Saccharomyces cerevisiae S288C: one gene and its partner. The protein of the gene in region 1 binds, or shares a complex with, the protein of each later gene. Each region holds a gene or a part of one and is shown in the gene's direction. Other genes may lie near its edges.

Region 1 (3,725 bases):
TTCCAAACCATGCATAATGTCAATAACCAAAATTGCGATGTTACACAATGAAGAACCTCTTGAACGTAAGTTAGAGAAGGATTCGTGACCTGGGGTATCAATAACCAAAAGACCTGGGACATCAAAAGTTTGTTTTTCATATTCAGCCATAACTTTAGTTTTTGCCTTAATAGCGTCGATGGGGAAATAAGTGGCACCAATCTGTTGGGTGATGCCACCAGCTTCACCACCTTGAACGTTGGTTTGTCTGATTTTGTCTAACAATTTAGTCTTACCGGTATCGACATGACCCAAAATACAACAAATTGGGGAACGAAGATCTTTTTTGTTTGGAGAAGCGCTGGATGGAGTTGGAGTAGCTGCTGGTGTAGCTGCTGGTGTGCTTTTGGCAACTTCATGCACATGTGCTCTTTCTTCTTCTTCTTCTTCTTCTTCTTCTCCTTCTTCTTCTTCTTCGCCTTGATTTTGGTCTTCATTTTCATGGCTTGCGGTGGATTCTTGCGTTTCTTCGTTGGTTCCCTCCTCGTCATCATCACCAAGAGCCAAATTTTCCCAATCATCAATCAAAACATCTTCGGATTCTTTGAGTTCGTCATCAGGTACAACTTCCGAGTCTTTCTTAGAGTCAGATTTAATGGCTTCGGAGGCGTTTTCCTGGGTTGTTCTCTTCTTCTTCTTGCTGTAAACAACCTTCTTTGGTTTGTTTTCTTCTCCATCCTTCTTGGCCAGACCGGCAACTTTGACGTTACCGGAAGACAATAAAGCGGCACGTCTTCTTTCCAATAATTTCTTTTCTTCTTTTTGCTTTCTGGTCAATAGCTTACCTTCAGCCTTTCGTTTTTCACGCTTTGCCTTCTCCTTTTCCTTTTTAGCTGCTTTAGCTTCTTCCTTCATTTTTTCTTCGTTGGCCAATCTTTCCTCCTCTTCTTTCTCCAATCTTTCTTCTTCCTCTCTTTCCAACTTTTCTTGTTCTTCAAGTTGTTTCTTCAATTCTAATTGACGTCTCAAAGCAGCCAAACCGGCAGGTACTTTCTTGGCTGGCTTCTTAGCACTAGCACTTGGTTTATCACTTTCACCTTTAGATTTTTGGGATTTCTCAGCAGCAGCCTTCTCAGCAGCAGCTTTTTCAACATTTTGCTTGTTCAACTCCTTGTTCTTCTCCTTTTGAGCTTGCTGTTGGGCCTTCTTCCTGGCAGCTTGTTCTTTCTTCTTCTGCTTCTCCTTTTCCTTTTTTTCCTTCTCCTTTTCCTTCTTGGACTTTAGTATAGGCTTACCATCCTTCTTCTCTTCAATAACCTTCTTTTCTTGCTTCTTCTTCGATTGCTTCAAAGTAGACATGAAGTCGCCTTCAATGGCCTCAGCACCTTCAGCACTTGCACTTGCTTCTCTGGAAGTGTCATCTGCACCTGCGCTGCTTTCTGGATTTGGAGTTGGCGTGGCACTGATTTCTTCGTTCTGGGCGGCGTCTTCTTCGAATTCCTCATCCCAGTAGTTCTGTTGGTTCTTTTTACTCTTTTTCGCCATCTTTCACTTATCTGATGTTCCTGATTGCCCTTCTTATCCCCTCAAAGTTCACCTTTGCCACTTATTCTAGTGCAAGATCTCTTGCTTTCAATGGGCTTAAAGCTTGAAAAATTTTTTCACATCACAAGCGACGAGGGCCCGTTTTTTTCATCGATGAGCTATAAGAGTTTTCCACTTTTAAGATGGGATATTACGGTGTGATGAGGGCGCAATGATAGGAAGTGTTTGAAGCTAGATGCAGTAGGTGCAAGCGTAGAGTTGTTGATTGAGCAAAATGTCTACTACAGTTGAAAAAATCAAAGCTATCGAAGATGAAATGGCCCGTACCCAAAAGAACAAGGCCACATCTTTCCATTTGGGTCAACTGAAGGCCAAGCTGGCCAAACTGAGAAGAGAATTGTTGACCAGTGCTTCATCCGGCAGCGGTGGTGGTGCTGGTATTGGTTTTGATGTGGCTAGAACTGGTGTGGCCAGTGTGGGGTTTGTCGGGTTCCCGTCGGTGGGGAAATCTACATTACTGTCCAAGTTGACTGGTACTGAGTCTGAAGCAGCTGAGTACGAGTTTACCACCCTGGTTACCGTCCCCGGTGTCATTCGTTATAAAGGTGCCAAGATCCAAATGTTGGATTTACCTGGTATTATCGATGGTGCTAAGGATGGTAGAGGTAGAGGTAAGCAAGTTATTGCCGTGGCAAGAACCTGTAACCTGTTATTTATCATCCTAGATGTGAACAAACCCTTGCATCATAAGCAAATCATTGAGAAGGAACTGGAAGGTGTGGGGATTCGTCTGAATAAAACTCCGCCAGATATCTTGATCAAAAAAAAAGAGAAAGGTGGTATTTCCATCACAAACACAGTCCCATTGACCCATCTGGGGAATGACGAAATCAGAGCCGTTATGAGCGAGTACAGAATAAATAGCGCTGAGATTGCCTTCAGGTGTGATGCCACTGTGGATGATTTGATTGATGTTTTGGAAGCTTCGTCAAGAAGATACATGCCTGCCATCTATGTGTTAAACAAGATTGATTCTCTGTCAATAGAGGAATTGGAATTACTTTACCGAATTCCTAATGCCGTGCCTATTTCGTCTGGTCAAGATTGGAACTTGGACGAGCTGTTGCAAGTCATGTGGGATAGACTAAATCTAGTCCGTATTTACACTAAACCAAAGGGCCAAATACCAGATTTTACCGACCCTGTGGTGCTAAGATCAGACCGTTGCAGTGTCAAGGATTTTTGTAACCAAATTCATAAATCTTTAGTGGACGACTTTAGAAATGCTCTGGTTTACGGTAGCAGTGTCAAACATCAACCTCAATACGTGGGGTTGAGTCACATTTTGGAAGACGAAGATGTTGTTACCATCTTGAAAAAGTGATTCTCGAACAAAAAATAATATAAGAAATGAAAAAAAAAAAAAATAATTCATAATTGAATATACAAGCATTTGTATTCGAAAAGGGGGTATCGGTTATTTTTTTTCGCTGTTTTTCTTCCACCGTTTGAGTATAGAGCATCTATAACATTTAATTATCTCTACATAATGAATAAAAAAAACAGTCGTAATAATTAAAAATGTTATGCTACCGAGGGCTCTTCAAAAGCGACCTCGCTTTGTGGTACCCATAAGCATTCTGTTATCGATCGTAGAGTTTTCTGGTAAATTGACACATCTCCTCTTGACTGAGCTCGTCTGCCTACGTTTTAGAATTTCCTGGGTTTGGCCAAACTCCCACAGTTCTTTATCATTCAGAATATCGAACTCATCGGATGTACTGATGGATATGTTCAGGGTTGCTTTCATATATTGCAAAGAATCCTGGATGGTCACTAGTGGATAGTAGGTCATCACCCTGGAAATAAGAAATTTGAGAAGTGCGCAATCATAGGAATGTGATGATATAACCAAGATATTTCCAAAATGACTAAATGACTTAAAGAGTGCCAACAGATCGTTGAATGCCTGGTACTGTACCAAGGGCTCACCACTGAGGACATTCGAATTACAAAACTGGGGCAGTGATTGGATTGTATCGGTTTGTGCCTGTGTTAAAGATGTTTTTATCTTTTTGCCCATCTGCAAGTACTGTCCAACGAATTTCTGTAGTAGTATTGTATTGTTTCGTATATACAAATCAATTGCGGCCTTCTTTGTTGCTACTGCTGCTGTAGTTGGTGAGCAAAGATTCACGACT
Region 2 (3,855 bases), on another chromosome or scaffold:
GGGTTTGATCCTGATGGTGAGCTCGAATTATTATCCTTGTACCTGAATGCCGGTCTTTGTGCTTCCTTGTCTTCAGATACATCGATAACTTTTGGTAATTTCCCCGGTTCTGCCTTCACAGGTGCCAGATTCATATTTTTATCCATCCACCTGATAACCAAGGAAGCAATTTCTTCATTAGTTAGTAATTCGAATAAACCATCCGAACCCATCACCATAAATTTAGTGTTCTCACCAATTTTGGCAGAAGTAATCACTGGTTCCGCAGTGACATATGGGGGTGTCTTGAAATCCCTTGGCTCTCTTCTAAAATAAAGTTTGGCAACTTCAGGCAAATCCGATAATGGTTTTCCATCGACTTCTTTGATCTTGTAGCGATAGTCTCCAAATGCCCTGGATGGTTGTAATGAACCCAATATTCTTCCGTTTCTTATAACGTTTGGTTCTCCTGGATGTTCTTTCCTAATTCTCCGTACTTCATCCAAATTATCACCGGTCTGGTCGGTGGATAGCGACTTTACCGTCCAATTGCCCTCGTTGTCCAAACCACAAATTAAAGCCCTTGAGTCTCCAGTGACAGCCACTTTCAAAATTGAGTTAGTGGAGTTGTATAAACTTAATAGTGCACAAGAACCAGAAATCGCTGGTAAAGTGTTTGCAATATTTGTGTTGTTTGGATCTTGAAACAGCTTCCTGAACGATTCGATTACAAGATCATTATCTAGTTTCAAAAAACCTTTCGAAATTGCAGAATCGATTAATTGGTTGGGGTCGGAATGGAAAACCGTTTTGTTCTGGTCATATACCTGACCTAATTGATACGCTACATAACGGACTAGATCTTTAGATAATTTTTCCGAAGTGAAAGGACCACCATGTCCATCAAAAATTCCAAAAAAATACAAATCCTTCTCTATGGACTTGCCATCCTCACTTTCTATCGGAATGGTAATGATTTGTTCTACGTGATCGTCTTCTATTGGATGGTTAGAGGGCAACTGTGCCACATCATACCTGAATATACCAGTGCCACGGTTAACAAAATGGCTTTCCTCTCTATCATGTAGTTTAGCCTCTATTTTAGAATCGTTCAAGATAAGAACAGATTGGTCATTCTGAGACCGTTGACTCTTTTGTGTCTCTGTTCCTTTTGGATTAGGTGACGGCATGTTAATGTTACCACTAGTATTTGTAGAATAATCTTTTATTCCGTTAATTGTATCAAGGGAGAGGATCTTTTTAGGGGAATAGTAGGAGTAGGTCAACAGTAGGGACCCGCTTAGTAGAGCAATGTTTAGAGCTTTAGAATGTGATGATATGAATAGCTTTGTCCTTGAATAGTATGTGCTGTTGGCATGTGATGTTGAATATGCACGTTGGAGAAACTTCTGTGTGTATTCTCTACCAGATTGACATTTAGATAGAACCTTAACCGTTTTCTTTATAGCTACGGTTCTAGTTAAGGGAGACATGGAGAGATTGAGAGAAGTAAAAGCACTTCTTCTGTTGAAAAATTTCAGTAGAGCACAAATTCAATTAAAGTAGCAATAGATGTTTCTTTTCCTGCCTATCACACGATTTCGTTTACCCTCCAATCGATCCTTTTTTTCTTTTTTGTATCTTGTGTAGAAAGAAGTGAATCCTGTTTTTCTACATAATGAAGGGCCGGTAACTGCTCATTACTGAGTTTTAAAGTAGAAAATAAAAATGTATGCAATTGGTCGCCAATACCTGATAACTAAGAATGTAACTATGCAAGGGATAAGGAAATTTAGTCAATGCTGCCCATCACACCCTGAACAGCACAAGATTGCAACCTCTGAGAGTATTTCTTAAGTTGGAGACTAGTGGAGGAAATGAATTGGCACGTAGCTCGTCGAACATGATGAACTGTGATGATAATGAAAAAATTTTTGTTCCCCAGCGATGAGTTAGTGAAAATCGACAATATATCTTTTTTTAATCAATGTGTTTTACTATTTCTAGAAAGCAAGGGAAGCCACTCTATTAGTAAACCTCTGGGCTTTACACATATAAAATCGCAGGAAAGTTATATTTCGAAGATGCCACCAAAAAAGGGAAAACAGGCCCAAGCGGCTGGTAAGAAGAAGGATAATGTCGACAAGACGTTCGGTATGAAGAACAAGAACCGTTCTACCAAAGTCCAAAAATACATCAAACAAGTGCAATCACAATCCGACCCCAAGAAAGAAGAGATGAGGTTAAAGAAACTCGAAGAAAAAAAGCGCAGAGAAGCCGAAGAAGCTGAACGAAGAGCACTATTCAACCCTGTAGCAGACCAAAGGGTTCGTGCGGGTGTAGATCCCAAGTCCATGGTTTGTGCTCTGTTCAAACTGGGGAATTGTAACAAAGGTGCCAAATGTAAGTTCTCACATGACTTGAACGTCGGTAGAAGAATGGAAAAGAAAGATTTATACCAAGATACAAGAAGTGAAAAGGAAAATGACACAATGGACAACTGGGATGAAGAAAAGCTGAGAAAAGTTATCCTGTCGAAGCACGGTAACCCAAAGACCACCACCGACAAAGTATGCAAATACTTCATCGAGGCCGTGGAAAACGGTAAATACGGTTGGTTTTGGATTTGTCCTAACGGAGGTGACAAATGTATGTACAGACACTCCCTACCAGAGGGCTTTGTGCTGAAAACCAACGAGCAAAAGAGGCTCGAGAGGGAGTCGCTCGAGAAACAGCCAAAAATTACGCTGGAGGAGTTTATCGAAACAGAAAGAGGGAAACTAGACAAATCCAAGCTAACACCAATAACAATTGCCAACTTCGCCCAATGGAAGAAGGACCACGTCATCGCAAAGATTAACGCTGAAAAGAAGTTATCTAGTAAGAGGAAACCTACTGGTAGAGAAATCATTCTTAAGATGAGCGCCGAAAACAAGTCATTTGAGACGGACAACGCCGACATGCCAGACGACGTCACCCAGGGATCCGCATGGGATCTTACTGAATTCACAGATGCCTTGAAGAAGGCTGACCACCAAGACGACGGCGGCATCAAGGACTACGGTGACGGTAGCAACCCCACCTTCGACATCAAAAAAGCCAACTCCGCCACGCTCGCATAGTCTAAAATTCATATAGACTAAACTGTATATATGCCACCGTATATATAATACACGCACACACACCAACACAAAGCATGTCACGTCATGTAGCTGATCACGCAGCACGACCGCGGCCCATGCTTATCTGCCGTCTTTTTGCCCCTTTCGATATCCCACGCCCCACGCCCCCACGTTGTTGAGGTGTTTTTTCACCTCGGATCCGCCCGACAATATCTGGGATTAAAAGTGCTCGAGTTTTGCTCTCTATTTCACAATCGGTGATAGTTGAGCTTCCTTTCACTGCATCTCTTTGCAGCCTCGGGGGATGAGGCTATATACTTAGAGGGCCTGAATATATGTTTGACGCATCCCTCCTTCGTACGCTACCATCTGTTACTCTTGCACCGTTATTATATGCTTGTAATTTTTGTTATATAATAGGCCTTTCATTGTTTTTAATATAGACTTTCATCATAGGGCATCCGGAATTTCTTCTCAGAAGCCTCGCAATTTTTCTTTATATTAGGTTTTTCAGACTTTACATTTGTACAGAAACTGCGTATTGTTGACCATTACCGAGAGGAAGATAAAAAGGCATAGATAGTTAAGTTTAGCATTATAGAACCAACACAAACAAAACAATAGAAGACAAAGAGTAAGTTCAAGACAAGTAGACAATGACACACATCACACTGGGACAAGCCATCTGGGCCTCTGTCAGACCAATCATCAAAATCTATCTGATTATTGGTGTAGGCTTCGGTTTATGCAAGAT

Evidence for each region.
Region 2: the proteins of RBG1 (region 1) and TMA46 are in contact, whole or in part, in a crystal structure (PDB 4A9A), measured with the Saccharomyces cerevisiae proteins. Residues at the interface, in NP_009364.1 of Saccharomyces cerevisiae: Ser83 (codon at 2,045), Lys84 (codon at 2,048), Leu85 (codon at 2,051), Thr86 (codon at 2,054), Gly87 (codon at 2,057), Thr88 (codon at 2,060), Glu89 (codon at 2,063), Val106 (codon at 2,114), Ile107 (codon at 2,117), Arg108 (codon at 2,120), Tyr109 (codon at 2,123), Lys110 (codon at 2,126), Gly111 (codon at 2,129), Lys113 (codon at 2,135), Leu150 (codon at 2,246), Val152 (codon at 2,252), Pro155 (codon at 2,261), Leu156 (codon at 2,264), Lys159 (codon at 2,273), Leu249 (codon at 2,543), Ile252 (codon at 2,552), Asp253 (codon at 2,555), Ser254 (codon at 2,558), Leu255 (codon at 2,561), Ser256 (codon at 2,564), Ile257 (codon at 2,567), Glu258 (codon at 2,570), Glu259 (codon at 2,573), Leu260 (codon at 2,576), Glu261 (codon at 2,579); in NP_014734.2 of Saccharomyces cerevisiae: Gln217 (codon at 2,712), Pro218 (codon at 2,715), Lys219 (codon at 2,718), Ile220 (codon at 2,721), Thr221 (codon at 2,724), Leu222 (codon at 2,727), Glu223 (codon at 2,730), Phe225 (codon at 2,736), Ile226 (codon at 2,739), Glu227 (codon at 2,742), Glu229 (codon at 2,748), Arg230 (codon at 2,751), Leu233 (codon at 2,760), Lys237 (codon at 2,772), Leu238 (codon at 2,775), Thr239 (codon at 2,778), Pro240 (codon at 2,781), Ile241 (codon at 2,784), Thr242 (codon at 2,787), Ile243 (codon at 2,790), Asn245 (codon at 2,796), Phe246 (codon at 2,799), Trp249 (codon at 2,808), Lys250 (codon at 2,811), His253 (codon at 2,820), Lys257 (codon at 2,832), Lys269 (codon at 2,868), Pro270 (codon at 2,871), Thr271 (codon at 2,874), Gly272 (codon at 2,877).

The regions. Positions count from the first base shown.
Region 1 is NC_001133.9:74,226-77,950, reverse strand, and holds RBG1 (GTP-binding protein RBG1), read left to right. Parts: upstream 1-1,798; coding exon 1,799-2,908; downstream 2,909-3,725. Other genes in the region: FUN12 (translation initiation factor eIF5B), read right to left, coding at 1-1,524; YAL037W (uncharacterized protein), read right to left, coding at 3,128-3,725. UniProt on the Saccharomyces cerevisiae protein: Involved in ribosomal function.
Region 2 is NC_001147.6:491,370-495,224, forward strand, and holds TMA46 (translation machinery-associated protein TMA46), read left to right. Parts: upstream 1-2,063; coding exon 2,064-3,101; downstream 3,102-3,855. Other genes in the region: type 2C protein phosphatase PTC5, read right to left, coding at 1-1,472; putative ATPase ECM3, read left to right, coding at 3,758-3,855.